Rattus norvegicus: one gene and its partners. The main gene of each other region encodes a partner of the protein of the gene in region 4 in a complex. Links are inferred from orthologs where the notes say so. Each region holds a gene or a part of one and is shown on either strand. Other genes may lie near its edges. The genes, in order: Cmc1, Timm21, Smim20 and Surf1.

The links.
Region 1: Surf1 (region 4) and Cmc1 share a complex: the UniProt entries of both Homo sapiens proteins name them as parts of the MITRAC (mitochondrial translation regulation assembly intermediate of cytochrome c oxidase complex) complex. The link is inferred for Rattus norvegicus from reciprocal best matches to the Homo sapiens genes SURF1 and CMC1.
Region 2: Surf1 (region 4) and Timm21 share a complex: the UniProt entries of both Homo sapiens proteins name them as parts of the MITRAC (mitochondrial translation regulation assembly intermediate of cytochrome c oxidase complex) complex. The link is inferred for Rattus norvegicus from reciprocal best matches to the Homo sapiens genes SURF1 and TIMM21.
Region 3: Surf1 (region 4) and Smim20 share a complex: the UniProt entries of both Homo sapiens proteins name them as parts of the MITRAC (mitochondrial translation regulation assembly intermediate of cytochrome c oxidase complex) complex. The link is inferred for Rattus norvegicus from reciprocal best matches to the Homo sapiens genes SURF1 and SMIM20.

What each region holds. Positions count from the first base shown.
Region 1 is NC_086026.1:126,732,704-126,736,930, reverse strand, and holds the start of Cmc1 (COX assembly mitochondrial protein homolog), read left to right. Parts: upstream 1-1,367; 5' UTR 1,368-1,527; coding exon 1,528-1,546; intron 1,547-1,557; exon of another isoform or gene 1,558-1,706; intron 1,707-4,227. UniProt on the Homo sapiens protein: Component of the MITRAC (mitochondrial translation regulation assembly intermediate of cytochrome c oxidase complex) complex, that regulates cytochrome c oxidase assembly.
Region 2 is NC_086036.1:80,591,372-80,595,749, reverse strand, and holds the start of Timm21 (mitochondrial import inner membrane translocase subunit Tim21 precursor), read left to right. Parts: upstream 1-1,512; 5' UTR 1,513-1,725; coding exon 1,726-2,023; intron 2,024-3,631; coding exon 3,632-3,694; intron 3,695-3,782; coding exon 3,783-3,880; intron 3,881-4,378. Other genes in the region: Fbxo15 (F-box only protein 15), read right to left, coding at 874-1,043. UniProt on the Homo sapiens protein: Participates in the translocation of transit peptide-containing proteins across the mitochondrial inner membrane.
Region 3 is NC_086032.1:61,932,715-61,937,059, reverse strand, and holds the start of Smim20 (small integral membrane protein 20), read left to right. Parts: upstream 1-1,527; 5' UTR 1,528-1,623; coding exon 1,624-1,738; intron 1,739-4,345.
Region 4 is NC_086021.1:30,639,901-30,644,046, reverse strand, and holds the start of Surf1 (surfeit locus protein 1), read left to right. Parts: upstream 1-1,336; 5' UTR 1,337-1,352; coding exon 1,353-1,427; intron 1,428-1,624; coding exon 1,625-1,676; intron 1,677-1,889; coding exon of another isoform or gene 1,890-1,909; coding exon 1,910-2,043; intron 2,044-2,122; coding exon 2,123-2,205; intron 2,206-2,937; coding exon 2,938-3,126; intron 3,127-3,428; coding exon 3,429-3,501; intron 3,502-3,590; coding exon 3,591-3,753; intron 3,754-3,900; coding exon 3,901-3,982; intron 3,983-4,059; coding exon 4,060-4,129; 3' UTR 4,130-4,146. Other genes in the region: Surf2 (surfeit locus protein 2), read right to left, coding at 169-272, 860-1,014, 1,182-1,274. UniProt on the Homo sapiens protein: Component of the MITRAC (mitochondrial translation regulation assembly intermediate of cytochrome c oxidase complex) complex, that regulates cytochrome c oxidase assembly.

The DNA of each region.
Region 1 (4,227 bases), on a different chromosome or scaffold from region 4:
ACTGTTTTAAGTAGAAATACTATCATGTTTCCTGTGACAGTCATGGCAGAAACTATAGAAGAGGTCCCTCAAAGTTTATGAGGTGTGTTCTGTTTTGAGTGTATTCCTAGGAATGACCTTGGAAATGAAACCGAAGTCCAGAAATAAAACACTGGAACTTATTTTCACGCCGCAGGCGTGGCTACAGGATTCAAGAGAGCGTACACAGTTCTAACTGAAGCAGACCAAAAGCATCCCATTTATCAAGATATGTTTTGCCTATGTGGTTTGATTACTTGAGTGTTGGATGCCCGACTTCTGATTTTATAACTCATCTCATAGTCTCTAAATCTTCAGGTGTATTTGTTACACACAGCGAGTGGTCAGCTTGAGCATCTGCCTAATCCAACAACGGCAGCAACAAAACGTCGTTTTGGTCTTTCTAACTCATCCGCTTCCAGCAAAATAAAAAGGGGACCCATAGCAGCTTCTGTGTGTTTCTCAGCACATTTATAAAACATACAAGTAAAAGAACCGACTTCTGCCCGGCTGAGTGAAGGTTTAATTCTCCACCTTGGCACCTCAGCCTCTAGCTGTAATGAGAGCGTTATGTCCAAACAGGCCCTTAAACCGGAGCCCTGCTGAGCAGAGACGCACTTTCCCAGGCCTGTTCAACTGGGGTATCCTTTCTGCCAACTGACCAGGCAGACTCAGCAGCAGGGAAGAAGGGACTGCAGGTAGGTGGGAAGGGAATCATTTTGAAAGCCTTAAATCCCTCGTAGCGAAGAGGCAGCTGCTCCACGTTTTCCCAAACATCTGTCCCTGGCCCTACTCACCATTTGGAGGCTTGAGTTCATTAAATGGAGATCTGATAGACTCAGCCAGAACTGAAGGTCGGTCAGTGAGTGGAAACAGGCCTAAGGGCCGCCCTGAAAGTTACCTTCGGGCAACTGTTCCTTTCCCTTATGTCAGCAACAGATCACAGCTTTCAAGGAGAGTCAAGATCCATCACATCACCCAGACTGGACTGCCCAGGGTGTGTTCACAAAACACGTCTCCTGGACAGGACTCCTCCTGCAGGTGGCTTTCCTCCCGGGAACAACGCGTCAAGAATAAGGGCTTTATTTTTATTACTTTTCCTCTGGCACTCAAGACTGAGGCCGAAACCCGACAGGGACAGAAGGACATTCAGAACCTTTGAGATAAGAGGCCCAAGTCTCAAATCCCACGTGCTAAGTCAGGCAGCACACATTGAGGCAGCCTCTTGAAGGCGCATGCGTGGCCACGCCCCCTCCTGGGCATTCCGCGAGAAACCCGCCCACTCTACCGCAGGATTCCCGTAGAGGGCAGTCGGGCGCAGGCGTAGAACAAACCGAGGGTAGGAACAGGGGAAGGGGGTGTGGTCTGTTCTCACAGCGGAGGTCGCGCACCCGCTCTCCTGCGGGAAGCTGCGGGCGGGCGAGCGGCTGCGCGCGCAGTCCAGCTTAGGCTCCTCCCCGTCCCGGCTCCAGAGCCGGCGAGTGGCTTGCTGCTTCTCCGCCCTCCGAGATGGCGCTGGACCCCGCAGGTACTGGGGTCGGCGTGGTTGTGAGGGCCTAGGCGCCAGGGGTCAGGTGCTCCAAGGATGCGTGGCTTCCGCAGTTAGCACCTCATTCAGCCCGGCGGCTGGGTTTCCACTCTCGGTGACAGGCCGTCCATCTGCTGCTCGCTGGGGCTCTAGTTGCTCGGTGAGGGGCGTTGGATTCCTTGTGTCAACTTTCACTATCTCTTCAGTCTCTTCACCGCCTAGTTTTTGTTTTTGCTTTTTTTTCTTTCCTCCTTTGGGGCACAGGCTCCTTTTAAACAGTATCGGGTGTAGACAAAGTTGTCCCAGAAAACTGAAGTTTCACTCTGGTGCACAGTTTGACATTCTGTTTCCGGTAATTTTATGCCTTCTCCCAAGTTCATCCTGGTAGGTCAGTGTAACAAACGCTCCACGACTGACTGGCTAGAGGCATTTTCTTGGAAAGGCTCTCCAATACATCTTCCGTGTCGTTTTAATTTGCATGATTCCCATCACTTACGTTTGCAGTCGAGTTCAGGTCCTCAGGAAGTTTTTCAGAAAGCGCCCTCCCAGTATTTTACTTGATTTAAGTAACGGTGAAAAGGCAGAGACAGAAAGGTAATGAGTCTAGTCTTAATGGATAGGAAAACTCCAGGTATTGATAGGTTAGAGACTTTCAAACCTTTGAAGAATCTGAAGCGAAAGGTCACATGTAGCCCTCACATAGGATGGAAACTAGGTATAGCATTCGAATAACTTGTCATTTTATTATCAAGCCAATGTATTCAGTTGTCCCAGAATAGTACTTGCCTGGTTGGTTCTTTTATCTCCATTTTCAGAGTAGGAAGCAGGCTCAGAAAGGTTAAGCCGCTGCTTTTAGTCACCCCTCCTAGTTCTTTCCTAGCTGGCGCCTTTGTCCGTCAGCTTTGAATTAAAATGTCAGTTCCTTATAGAACTTAGCACCGTCTAAAGCAACCTTGGTTCATCTACTGCAGCACCCTGCTTACTTCGCACCTCACGTAATTGACCAGAGTCTGTAAGTGTATTAGTATAATCTGAAGCATAAAGCAGTTGCGGAACACCGCTCGGATCTTATCAATTTGAAGCAAAATATTTGGACTGAAGTTTGAAGCGGCATCGTTGAGCAGTGATCATGTGGTAAGACACAGAGTCTTACTTGATTTGAGGGTGACAAGTTTGATTGGAAGGTAGGAGGCAGTAATGAAGCATGGGTAAGGGAAGTTCAGGTAAAGTGCATATAATTTTGGTATTTCATGACCTTGAAAATGATACTCATACAGATAGGGATAGGGACACTCAGGTTAAAGCAGTGGTTCTCAGCCTTCCCAATGCAGAGACCCTTTAACAGTTCCTCATGTTGTGGTGACCCCCCCAACCATAGAATTATTTTCATTGCTACCTCACTTCATGACTATAATTTTGCTACTGTGAGGAATCGTGATGTAAATTTTTTTGGAGATAGAAGTTTGCCAAAAGGATGGTGATGCACAGGTTGGGAACCACTGAGCTAAAGGCCTGGATGGATCTTTATTTAGACAGATGAGAAAGTGTAAGAAACAAACAGTTCATACTTGCTCCTACGGGTTTCTAGTTCTCTTAACCCCGTCTGAATGTGCAGTGTGCTCAAGGCGTCATAGCTATTGTCTGATAAGACCAAGTTTTGTTACGAACCACTTGGTTCCTTTCTCAACCCAGACTGTCAACCATGCCTTTATTTTAGTACCTTTTGGTAAACTTGTTGGTGGCTCAGTGTTCTTGGTGTATATTGTTCTGTAACCTAGGAAACAGTAACATATAGGACAAACAAGGACCCCCACCTAAAGTAGCCTCTCCCTGTTTGTTCACAGACACTAAAAGACATGAAGTAGATTGTGAGGAGAGAGCTACTTTTGTTAAGAGCTTTTATGGAGAAACACCATTTGCTTTAAAATATCAAGAGAAGAAGCTACCATGAAAAGAGCTGGGAGCTGGGGCCATGGTGGGCATTCAATGTGGCAAATGCTTGAAAAAATATTGAACTGACAGGGCAGAGTGGCGAGAAGAACCATAAGGAAGAAGGTTGTCAAAGTGGGCTTGAGGTGAACACCTCGTTGGTTTAGGGACTTGAATTCTACTATAAAGCATCTTAATTCTTTTTTTTTTAAAGATTTATTTATTTATTATATATAAGTACACTGTAGCTGTCTTCAGACACATCAGAAGAAGGCATTAGATCCCATTACAGATGGTTGTGAGCCACCATGTGGTTGCTGGGAATTGAACTCAGGACCTCTGGAAGAGCAGTCAGTGCTCTCAACCACTGAGCTATCTCTCCAGCTCTAGCGTTTTAATTCTGTTTCCTTTCAGTTTTTCTCAAAGTCTGGACCCAAGAGTGAGATGTAGGCAGCATCTGTATTCTCATGTGACTTTTCTTTAAACTTTCCCTTTTACAGAGTTGATAACACACTCCCTGAAGGTTTATCTTTTTATTATTGTTATTATTATTATTATTATTATTATTATTATTATTATTATTATTACAGTTATACTTATTGTTTTCAACTGTGATAAGTGGAAGAGACTAGAGAAAGGACAAAGTACTAAGCAAAGTGGTAGTGAGAGGGATTGGATTTGTACTGGTGCCTGCCTGAGCTGCACTGCGCTCTTAGATCCTCTGACACTGAAGTACTTGTTAGACGGCTCAG
Region 2 (4,378 bases), on a different chromosome or scaffold from region 4:
TCTAAACAGTCACAAGAAAATAAATTTAGTAAGGTACTTGTTTGGGTGAATGAAGATTCTTCAGGGAGGCCCTTTTCCCGTGTCCTAAAATTCCATTCTCTCGCTGTAAGAGAGGAACATACTTTGGCTTAAAGGCACTCCTTGAGAAAAATGAAAAAATAACCTTGAAGACAGAACGGTCATCTTGCAGGCTCTTCCTTACACGTAATGGGAATACAACGAACCAGAACAGAGTTGCATAACAAAATGTGACTGTCTAGAAAACTTGGCATGGTGGGAGAGGTGCACAAAATGTCCTGTTTAGCATTAGGTTTTGATGAATACTTTCTACTCCGAGTTTAAAAGCTCTACGGCTGATTCTCATTTTAAAATCACTAAAATGCAAGAATACTACATAAAAGCCTTGTTCCGGGCGAGCAGTAGGTCCGCTCCTGTCTTCACATGTGCACTACTGTAGTCTCCCAGGAACTGAAAATAGCCTTAGAGCCATAGGGCCTACCAATGAATGAATGGAATGCTTGGTAACATACATCACTTCCTTAGGAAGTAACTTTACTTGTGTTCTAACTTGAGGTACCCTAGTTTCCAGGATAGACAGGTTTCCCTCTGCCATTCTAATGTTTCCCGCGTTTAAAAGTAGCAGGAGTCACATGCTATAGTAGAACTGATACTAGAAAGAGCTGTGGGGTGGGATACTGAAGAGACCCACCCGTGAGCCCCGAGCGTCACCTGAACCCGGAGCGCCCCGCGGCCAGCCCCGCGCTGCCCCAGGTAGTGCCCCCACCATGAAGGGACCCTCGCAGAGCCTGGAGGCCGAAACTTCCAGGCCTCAGCATCCGACCGCGTCCGGTCGCCATGGAGACCCAAAGGTACCTTCTGGAGGAGCGACAGAGAAGCCCAGCACTGCCCCTCACGCGTGCGCAAAACCCGGACCGGGCTCGCGCATGCGTAGACTGGGTTTCTCTGTGAACACCTCCTTTGCTCTTCGAACGTCGTTGTTCGGGACAATCCCGGGCCCGGCTTCTTTCCCACGCCCCAGTCATTCTGACGCCGGTTCTTGGCCCATTAGCCTGTTATGGCCCGGCTCAGCTACGTTTGCTAACTGTCTTCCTGAGAAGAAACAAGCGCTGAAATTGTCACTTTCTAATAACTATGGCAAACCCACGACATGAACTTCCCAGTTGACACAGTCCTCTATAAAAAGACTATGAGGACACGCAATTTGCAACTAATCCGACTTTTGCAAGTTCTGTCTAAGCCAAGAGGCCATTGAACCAGGGATACCAATAACATGCCTGCCTCAACCGGGCCACAGCGCACGCGCAACGATCCGCGCAGAAGCGTCTGAGAAAACAGGATGGGCCCTTTCTTGTTGCATGGCATTATGGGAGATGTAGTCCATCCTGCCTGCCTTTCCTGCAGTTGAACAGGAAAGTGTGAAGCCATTAAACTGCGATTCCCGGGATGTCTGGTGTTTCCCGGGATGCTTTGCGAAAGCATGGCGGGCAAGATGTGAATGTCAGTAGGACGGTAAATAGGGCATTTTAATTCAAGAGAGAGAAAAAAAATAAAGTGTACCTAACTTCTCTTGTAGATTATTCATCTTGATATTCGCCTGACACAGGATGTAATGTGAATGGTTTGGTTTCACGTCTTGTCCGCCTGAGTGTGTGGATTACGAACCTTTAGAAGTTGCAGTTCGGAAGTCTCACAGTGTTTGTGAACATGATTTGTGCTTTTCTACGAGTTGTTCGGCATGCGGAGAAGCTGCACGGGTCGTTGGGCAGGCAGTTGTTGTTGCCACACTTTGTACTCACCAAAGCTTGCTTGAAAACCCAGCCTTTGAGATGGGGGCTGCGAGAGCAGAAGAAAACAGTGCAACCTAGAACTGTCCTTGGGTTCACCCAGAAAACCTTCTGGACACAAGGACCGGACCCCCGGAAAGCAAAGGAGGACAGTAGCAAGCAAGTGTCTATTAACAGGAATCAAAGAGAGGAAACCGGTGTCTCAACATCTCAGAAAGGTAAAAAGAAAAAAATAGTATCTAGGACTTAAGACTGTCAGCTCCTGTGCTCCCCACTTCTGGGAGTGTCTGCACTCCAGTATAGGACCTACTGAAAGAGAGGTGGAGAACTGCAGAAACACAAGGAATAGGAAATTATTAGGTCACGACAGAGTGTTGGGGAGAACAGGAGGTTGAGGCGTTTAGGCCAATGACCTGATTTGGGATTGCAGGAAAAAATATGGTTATGTCTTAGTCTAGTTGTTATTGTCCTCTCAATTTGGGGCCTCATGCGGTGTCTACTGATATGTAGTTTATGACATTATGGACAGTGGAATAGAAAGATTCGTGTTCCAGCCCTCAGCTCAGAGCCTGGTAAAGAGATAGGATTTGTGAAGCAATTACTGCTGAGATCAGTCCCATAATATCTACGATTTTTGGTAGATGACAATCTTTCTATTATTTGAAGTAGTGTTTTCTTTAAAGATTTGTTTATTATTGCTAGTGTTGCTGGTGTGTGTGTGTGTGTGTGTGTGTGTGTGTGTGTGTGTGTGTATACACATGAGTATAGGTAAAGAAGGAAGCCAGAAAAAGTCATCAGATGCCCCTAAGCTGAAGTTACTGGCAATTGTGAGCCACCAGATATGGTTGCTGGGAACTGAATTCTGGATGTCTACAAGAGCAGCAAATACTCTTAACCACTGAGCCATTTCTCCAGCCCCCTGAACACATTTCAAGTTCACAGCCTGTACTGAAAAACCAAAAGTATGTTCTAGAAATGACTTCTAAATAAGTAATTTTATTATATGTCATTGTACCTATGAAAAAAGTAGAGGGAAAAAAAATACCACTTGTTAAACTTTGATTTCTTGGAAAAAATAAAAATTTAAAGACTGAAGTTAGAAAAATCTGGGTTCCTCATGTGACTGTACATACATATAAATGACCAAAGAAGTAAAGCGCTCTCATAATCAGACTTTGCTTGTGATGTAGCTCTTCACATATAACATGCATTTATGTAAATAATGTGTCTGTACTCACTCCCCTTTGATTGATTACCTTATCTCCCCAAACTGCTCTTTAATCCATGTGTTCATATACTTACTTAGTGCAGAAAAAAATAAAAACAATCTCTGTAAGTTTATTTGATTCATCAATCTTCCCAACCAACTACATTTCAATTCCAAGCTCAGTTCTTTGGTTTTGTGCACCACTCAGTGGGGTCTCTGGGATGGGTTAAGAGTTGCCTTGATCTGGACAGGATAGACCTGTGTACACGTTGCCTCATCTTGTGACCATTCTCACTCTGAGAGATCGATAAGGGTTTTACGTTACTAGAACAGAAGCAGTATCTATCAGCGACAGAAATCCAGAGGTTCCTAGGCCCCGTGCATAGCCAGGCCACACTAAACAGGTCTGTTCTCTTCTGGCCTTGGGAGCTAAGCAGAACTAGGCCTGGTTTGCACTGGAGTGAGGGGTTCTTCTGAAGCTTGGGAGCATTTGAGATGAGCTACTGAGAGCAGTGCTCTAGGTCTGGACCCAACTGCTCCCTGCTAGGAACACCTGAAGCCTCCAGAGGCCACAGCTCTGTGGATACACGTGTAACTTATTGACGTTTTCTCTTTGCAGTGAAAGAAGCCGGGAGAGACGTCACCTACCTGATAGTGGTGCTCTTTGGAGTCAGCATTACAGGTTACAGACCCAGCAAGCACTTGAATACCTTTCCACAGCCTCTCACCCTACTGCTTCGCTTCACTGCGTTCTCCCTCTGCTTTTTCAGGCAGCTTGTTATATACGATCTTCAAAGAACTGTTTTCCTCATCCAGTCCTAACATCATCTATGGGAAAGCCTTAGGGAAATGCAGAACACACCCTGAGGTTAGTTTTCTGATGATCGTGTGGGGGAGGAGGAATGAATCCCTTGTGAAGCCCATGCCTCCACACTGTACTAAGGCAGTGGGTTGCTTTTCTGTTTTTAGGTCTCTGTTCTCTGAGGCACTTTGACCCTAGCACCCAAAGGTCACTGCGCACGCTCTCCTCCTCCCCGCTATGCCAGTGTCTCTGGCATCCTTTGTTTTGTGTCCTAAACCACAGAGTGTAGCTGAGAGAGTTAAAAGTTGACAGAGACTACATTTAGGGCACTCCACTGTAGTCAGTGGGCATCCAGGGAAGAGTGGTCTCCAGGAGGCACCCCAACTGTTTTAGTAATCCCAGGCTCAGTCTCTCGGGCATGTTCAGATTAACACAAGTAGAACCGTACAGGATACATGAAAGAATGAAGTATTATTAGGATCGTAGCTTCCTAGCTGGTCCTTAGACTTCAACAGGTCGTATGTTTAAGGTCCCACTTTTTGCCAGGCCATATGCCTGCCTTAC
Region 3 (4,345 bases), on a different chromosome or scaffold from region 4:
TATCAAGAGTGGGGGAGGAGCTGTTCCCCAAAGACATTTAGAGATGGGTCCTCTACTGCTAAGATAGCAAGTGCACACTACTGGGAGATCTTCCCTCCTGTGTTTAATTCATGTAGCACAAGACCCTTCTTTTTTGTGCAATCTTCTCTTCTTACCTAACAAGTTCCTGAGGGGGCCTGAGGAGCAGTCATCTTACTGCACAGTCATTTGTCTTCCTCCCTGCACTTCCGTTGCCCTTGGGACTACATCAGTCATCGGCAACAGGCTGCATCCAGGATTAGTTATCTTTTCATGTATTTGTTCCGTGGTCGGATCCTGGAGAGCAGAGGTCATGTCTTATTCATCTTGTGTCCCCCTTTGCACTTTGCCTGCTGTTCGGGGGGCATAGTGAGATAGTCTATAAATCTGTTGACAGATTGAACGACTGATTTATATGCTGCTAGAGCCAGAGGTAGATGGAATCTTGATTCGACTACAAAACTACAGAGAAAAAGACCTGTGTTCACCACATCATTTCTGAGAGATTGCTGATCTTCTCTGGACTAAATAATGTTGCTGAGGTCAAGATAAATACCTTCTGTGAAGCCCAGCCTCGCTACTGCTGTCATTTCTATTTCTAAGGGATTGAGTGAAGGCCAGAGGAATGTTGGTCTTAGCTGCCCAGCTCCCTGAGGAGATCATATCTTCTGACGAAGGCTCTGTAAAAGGGAACAGGTGCAGAGGTGGGGGAAAGCGATCGTGGGACGAGGGAGCAGGTGTCAGTCTTCAGAGGCTCCGCCCCAGGCAAAGAGCCAGAGCCCTAGGGACCTGCCACTGACTCTGTGATGTTCCCAGGCTTTAATAGATTTTGTTTGCAGCCCTCTGTTAGTTTTGGGAATTCCTGTCTACTTTCTGGAACCCCTCATAACCCAGCACACATAACATGGAGAGCAGAGAGGATGAGGGATCAAAATTAGATCACTTTGGGTGCTCAAATACCCTCCTTAAAAGGCTGCTCTGGTTCAGAAGACACAGTGACTAATTTTGCAAATGCCTTGCAATCCATTCGAACCAGGAGATTTGTTCCTTTGTGACTCGTGCCCACAAACAACTTTCAAAGAGGGAGACCCAGTGACTTGCTCAGCCTTTCAGATGCTTCTAGCCTGTCACCAATCACAAATGTCACAATGTTAATGAAGGGGAAGGGTGAAAAAGTGTTGTTGGTAATAGACGAGTAAAACAGGAGGTGGTAATTGGAGCAGAGAAGGAAGGACGCAGACCCGAGGCGAGTAAGAGGTCAAAAGGGGGCTCGAGAAAGGAGTGTAGCCAAATTTGTGACTGCACGGGCCACCCAGTGTCTCGCCCTCCACGCAGTCAGCCTGAGGCGAGGAGGCGGGGCTCGGTTTGAGTCTCCGCCCCATGCCTCGCCCTTCCTAGAAGACCCCGCCCTCAGATGATCCCGCCCCACTGCGAGGAGTCTTTCAGCCCAGGCCCCGCCTCCGAGCCCAGAAACTCCGCCCTGCACCCAAATCCCGGAAGCGAGAGTTGCTCCGCCTCTTCCGAGCCGGGTCGCGACCTTGAGGCTGGGAGTCGGGTTTCGGAGCGTGCCGGGCCTTCGCCCGCCCTGCAGCCCCCTTTCTCACCATGGCCGCGGCCCGGAACCTGCGCACCGCGCTCATATTCGGAGGCTTCATCTCTATGGTCGGAGCCGCCTTCTACCCTATCTACTTCCGGCCCCTTCTGCGGCTGGAAGAATACCGTGAGTGACCTCTGACCCCGCGCAGTGGCTGCTCCCAGCGCTACCCCGAAGTCTTTAAGCCCCTACCCTAACTGTTCAAGGAGTACTGAGGAAGGAGGTGGACTTAGGAGTGAGGCTACCCAGGGTCCAGGCTCGCCCAGTGCAGCCCGGTGATCTCGGACAAGTGGCCCCACCTCCGACCTTCAATGTTAAGAGTCTAAATAATCAGTTGCAGGATCAGCCACAGAACTGGAGCATCTTAGGGGTCACAGAGGTGATGTGTATGAAAGCAGCCTGCACACAGCAGGTCAACACTAACACTAGTTCACACACAGTTACTATATACTGAATATTTAATGTGTCAGGTTAGTCATATATCGAATCATTGAATTTGCACAGCCTTCCCTTGAGGTAGGTACTACCCATTTTACAGATGGAGGTCACACAGCTAGTAAGTGGTGGGGGAAATGTTCCAACCCAGTCTTCTGCCTGCAGAGCCCTCCCCTCCATTCACCCAGGCTGAGATGGTACTTTAGTGGGAGCCTTGATCATCCTGAGTTGAAAGGTGTTTTTATGGTGCATCATTGCCGTCCCCTAAGATGTCTTGGAGCGGAAATATTTCAAAGCTAAACTGTTAACCTGGGTTTTGAGTTTTTCCTCAAATCGTTTTTTTAGATTCTGCTGGTTTCCTTCGTTTTAAGCTGGTTGCTCACATGACAATGGTGAATGCCGGGGGAGTCATTTTTTTCCTTAATCATTCAGGTCCTATCATTCTAAAAGCCAAACTCTCCTTCCTGGAGACCTATACCTCAGCAAGGATTAGCACTTTGATACATCTGAAGCCATCTGTCAGAGAGGAGAGATGAGGCATTAGAGGATCATTTTGTTCTCCAGGAACCTGAACCATCTTGAAGATGAAGAGGGCCAGCCCAGCCCCCTGGGGAATATTAGCCGGAGCTGAAGCTTGGCGGTTTGACGCTTCATGTAAATGCTCTGACCATCTCTAGTGCTGTAGCACTTGGGTTCCAGAGGCAAAGCAGTTTCAAGTACACACACGAATCCCCTGGCAGCAGCTTTTTACCAGCTCAGACTGAGACGGTCTCTGTGCTTCCTGCCTACAAGTCCTTCTGCATACCCCGTGTGTGGAAGGAACATGGGCTGTGTAGGGTCCTGCAGAATTCGTCTCCATCCTTTTCCCTTGCTGGGTCCATGCCCCGGGCTATTTTATTACAGCTTCTAGAGTTGGACTCGAGACAGAAAGATCTGCTGTGGGTTCCCTTCGAAAACTCCCAGTTCTGAAAACGGGTATGGTTCTTAGCCAGTGTGCTATCTATCTGGAGTTGGTTTTGCTTGTCACAGCTAAGGGACAGAAGGGGAGGTGAGTAGGTTATTAGTATCTACTAGATAGGATCCAGGATAAATTTTCCATGATGCACAGAAGTCACCTGTGAGGAAGCATCAAAGGGTGAGGGCTGCCCAGCTCTTAATCAGTGAGTCAAGAGGAGACATGGCTTCCAGGAATACTCCCCAGTCTTTGGCTGACCAAGTTGCTTTAGACGGGCAGGTCAGGCTCCAAGGCTGTCCATACCCGCTTACCTTTTAGCTTATTAAAATAATTCAGCCAACTTTAACCAAAAGTTGTAACTAAATCTTTCAAGAAAGTCATACTAAACAGCTAATTTTTATCTGAAGTTAATTTTTAACACCCTTCCAAGCACTTCAACTCTACCAAGCCATTTAGTGCTCATAATAACCCTTTGTGGTAGCTGTTAGCTGAATGACATATAGACAGGGTATTTCCTCACTCTGAACCTTGCCCCCCCCCCCAGCCCCCTAGGCTGTGGTGATGGTGTTTACTGAACTGAATTTACAGGCTTAGGGTGAATTAAGTAGAGCATTACTTGTAGAAGTCTCTAGTATAGTCTCATATGAGGAATTGTACAAAAAGCACTTTTAAAAGAGGGCTTTGGTGAGGGACGAGCTATAAGCAGTTGTGTGCCTAAGGCCAGCGACCCAGCCCTAAGCATGTCCAGCTGGCTCAACGTATGCTCAGGAACTGGGAGCCTGCTGTGCAGGTGAGCTTCTCAGCCCATTTCAATCCTCAGTATTTATAGTATTTCACTGCTTTCCTTTCATATACTCAGCCTGGATTTTAGCTGTCACTTGGGTCTGGTACAGTTTAGATGTGGGGCAGAGCTGGGCTGACCCCAGTCTCTTCCCCTGCCACCCTTCTCACTCCGTCCTGGCCATGTGCATCTTGTGTAGTGTTTTAGCCCAAGCATTCTCTGCCCCTTTACTCACTAACATCACTGTTTTATCTTTACTCACCAACTCTTCGTCTTTCCCATGCGCCCCTCGTGCTTTTCTTGTGTGCATTATTATTTTCTTTTTCTTAAAGCTGAAAAGAAATGTGTGCTGTTGAGAGGGTGGATGTATGGCAGCTTATGTGTGTCAATTTCGGAGGACAACTCTGGAGTCATTTCTCCCCTGTTTTAACATAGGCTGTGGGGGTTGGATTTAGGTCATTGGGCTTGCATGGTAAGTGCTTTACCGGCTGAGCTGTCTTGCTGGCCCCGGTTGAGGTCTTTCTGAAATACACCTGGTACTAGTTCTTTGGTGAGAATTTGT
Region 4 (4,146 bases):
CTGCTATGGAATATCAGGCCTTGCAGTGGGGAGGTCAGGAGCCACTGGCCTCACTGTGCAAGACTAAGCAAGTGTATCAAAGGATCAATCATGTGCAAGGCACCCTTCTAGCTTTTTGGGGGCAGGGGGCATGCATCCTAAGGCCTGAGCTTCTGGAGGGTGACTTACATTTTTGAAGTGCTCTCTGATACCTCCGGCCCCGAGTGTGCCTCAGCACATGTTCTGGGGACTTGTTGATGTGCCTCAGGGTGAGTTTGCAGAACAGTTGGTGCCTACAGGGTAAACAGGTTGGGTATGGAAGGGCAGTGCACACCAAAGACCCAGACTTGTGGGGTCCATCATGGCTCCATGCCGAAAACAGATAAAGGTCTGTTGGGGCTGCTCTGCTTTTAGTCTCAGTGTCTGGACTTTGAAAAGGGCATGGCTACCTAATCTCACGAATCAGGAGGCAGAGGCAGACTTTGAGATCAGCCTGGTCTACATAGTGAGTTCCAGGCCAACCAAGCAACACAGGCTTACCTTCAAAAACAACTTCTCAAACAGTTCCACTCAGTATGTGGGATTAAGGACCCAGATTATCACTCAAGGGGAAAAAAACCAAAAAAACCCTGCAGTTTCCACACTGCTCCATGGTGCATGCTTGAGGATCCAACAGCTCAGGGAGTTCTATGTGAGGATATATCAACCACACAACCCAATAGGATTCCCAAACAGTGAAACTGGCACTGCCCAGCCTGGCTTCAGGGAACTATATGCAAGGGCCACAAGCCCTAGTCTTCAAAGTGTCACAGTGGGAGGCCTCTGTGTGCAGCAGGGGGCACAGGCCCTGCACCTAGGCATTGGCCGGCCATCTACGTACCGATTCTTTGTGCTGGGCACAATGTGTGGCTCGAACGCTGTGTAATCGAAGGCAGAGAAGGCACTTGAGAGCCGCTGGTACTTCTTGCCGCTAGTGTAGACTTGGAGGTCCGGCAGACGGCAGGGAAGCTCATGACCGGTTAGCGAGCAGCGTACCTGTGGATGAACCGCTGGTCAGAAGGTGGATCTTGCCAGCTCCGCCCCTTCCCTGCACTGCCCTCTCCTTCCCCCTTCCTTTCCGGCCACGGTCCTCCGAGGTCCCAATCCTTCCAGGTCCCGTTCCTTCCTGGCCCTACTTTTCCCCGTCACGGTTCTCTTTCGACCTTGTGGGTGTTGGGCAGCAGTCTCAAGCTGGGGTGCTGACGCAGAAATGCAAGCACATCAGAAGGTGGTTCGTCCATGATCGGAGACGCCATCTGACGCCACAGCCACCACGTGAGGCGGAGCGCGGTCCCGGAAGGAAGCAGGTTTCTCCGCCCCGGAAGTGTTCAAAGATGGCTGCTGTAATGGCTTTGACTGTCCTGCGAAGTCGGATAACGCGATGGCCGCAGTGGGCCTGCGCGGGGCCGGTAAGCGGGGGTTCAGAGAGGATCCTGTCCAAGAAGAGGGACCGGGAGGGCCGGGCCTGGAGTGGAGTGGAGCCGAGGAGGACCCTGCCCAAGAAGACATAGCTCGAAGTTGAGCGGGGCTGGGTTGGACGATGTCAGGTGCTCGCGCTTGACAGGCGGGGTCTCTGGGTTTACCTCGGCCTGTCTGGTCCCCGCAGGCCCCGTTCTGCGCGGTCAGAAGGAGCGTCTTTGGGTTTTCTGTTCGCTCAGGTGAGAAGGGCTCAGACCTGGGCGCGGTTGGGAGTACCCGTCTTTTCAGCCCGTTGTGGTGTATACAATACTGAGTGTATTGCACCGGGAGAGGGTTGGGCACCGGTACTGTTAATTGCCCCCTTTGCCATACATTCTCTGGGGTATAACCGGTCCTCTCGAGGAATTGGCCACCCAGTTCTGTTTATTTTAGGACTTCTGACCCCATGCCAGTGTTGTAAAACTCCCTCCAGGGATGGTCTGTAGGCCACACAGGTGTTGCAGTTCTACTGCTGAAACAGCCGCCGCTAAAGCAGAGGACGACTCTTTTCTCCAGTGGTTCCTGCTTTTCATCCCTGCTACTGCTTTTGGTCTGGGGACTTGGCAGGTGAAGACTGGGGTCGAATTTGGGTGGCTCTGAGCCTTGGACCCCACTGATACCTGCTTAGCTCACGTTGTTTCTCTAGGTCCAGCGCCGGAAATGGAAGCTGAAACTGATTGCAGAATTAGAGTCGCGAGTCATGGCTGAGCCCATCCCTCTACCTGCAGAGTGAGTGTGGCTGCCCACGTTATCCATCCCACTTAAGGAGCAGCAATGGGGCCCTTGCTTCTGTTTGGTGTATATCTCTGTCCTATGACAGGAACCCCGTTTCCCGCTAGACTGCCTTTATGAAGTTGCCAAAGGCACAGGAAATAGAGGTTTATTTTCGGTGCCATATTTCCCTTTTCAGGTCACAAGGTATCCATAGCGGCGAGTTCGTTGTAGCACTGGTGGATGATAGTATGAAGGTGATGGTCTTTAAAACACGTCCTCTAAGATTGTACTGCCCCCCTCAAATCAAATTTGAAAGTTTTGCCCTTCAGGCTGGCTCTTAAGTCGAGTATAACTCACATTTTTGTTAGTGTATGTAAAGTAGCCACACTTCCCTTCTCTGGTTATCTATTTCCATTTGGCATCAAAGGTTGCTGACCATCTCTATGGAGGGCGAAACCTGTCTGATCCTTAACGAGCCTTTTTTTTTTTTTTTTAAAGATTTATTCATTTATTATATATAAGTAGCTGTCATCAGATACACCAGAAGAGGGCATCGGATCTTTTTACAGATGGTTGTGAGCCACCATGTGGTTGCTGGGAATTGAACTCAGGACCTCTGGAAGAGTAGTCGGGTGCTCTTAACCACTGAGCCATCTCTCCAGCCCTTAACGAGCCTTTCTTTCTGCTTAGGGATCTACTCTGACAAGCCTGGCTTTGCCCACAGCCCTTCCCCCTTTCTCCTTGTAGCCCAATGGAACTGAAAAATTTGGAGTACAGGCCAGTGAAGGTCAGGGGGCACTTTGACCACTCCAAGGAGTTGTACATAATGCCTCGGACCATGGTGGACCCTGTCCGAGAGGCACGTGATGCTGGCAGATTATCCTCAACTGAAAGTGGGGCCTATGTTGTTACTCCTTTCCATTGCTCTGACTTGGGGTGAGTAGTCCATGGCTAAGCCTGTCAGCTCCCCTTACTATGCTTAATCAACCCTAAGACCTTAGGGAACCCACGAGACCCAACTAACATTGCCTGATAATTTCTAAGGTCTCCCAACACTAAGCAACTTTCTCAGGCAGTTCATTGCTAGGGTTTAGACTCTGAGGCTTAGCAGTGAAGACTGACTCCATAGAATAAGAAAACCATTTGTTTGCCCAGTAGATAGATACTCAGTGAACATTAGTGACCATCTGTATTGGAACTCTTCCTCACCCAAAGGGACACTTTTATCATTGCTCCAGAGTCACCATCCTGGTCAATAGAGGGTTTGTTCCCAGGAAGAAAGTGAATCCGGAGACCAGGCAGCAAGGCCAGGTAAGGCCTATGGCGCTTCAGCTGTGGAGATGTATATAGGTCACCTTGTCTTCACAGGACTCTGTAAAAAGCAATTCTGCCTTTTGTAGGTTCTGGGAGAAGTAGACCTAGTAGGCATAGTGAGGCTGACAGAAAACAGGAAGCCCTTTGTTCCTGAGAACAACCCAGAGAGGAGTCTCTGGTATTACCGGGACCTGGACGCTATGGCCAAGAGAACAGGAACGGACCCCATCTTCATTGATGCAGACTTCAGTATGTTGTGAACTTTCTACCTCTCCTTTCATTCTGACATCTGGTATAGATTGGGGGGGTGGGAAGCAGGGGATAGCCTGACAGGCCCTGAAGAGGACCTCATTTGGGTGGGCGGGCTTGACAGGACTGACTGTATTGTCTCTACAGATAGCACAACACCCGGAGGGCCCATTGGAGGTCAAACCAGAGTAACCCTTCGGAATGAGCACATGCAGTACATCATTACCTGGTCAGTCCTGCAGCCTTGGTTACCCCCTCCACAAACATACTGAATAGGCTGACTAAATTAATCTCTCTCAACCACAGGTATGGACTTTGTGCAGCTACATCATACTTGTGGTTCCGAAAATTTGTGCGTCGGACACCAGGTGTGTGAAAATAATGAACCTGTTC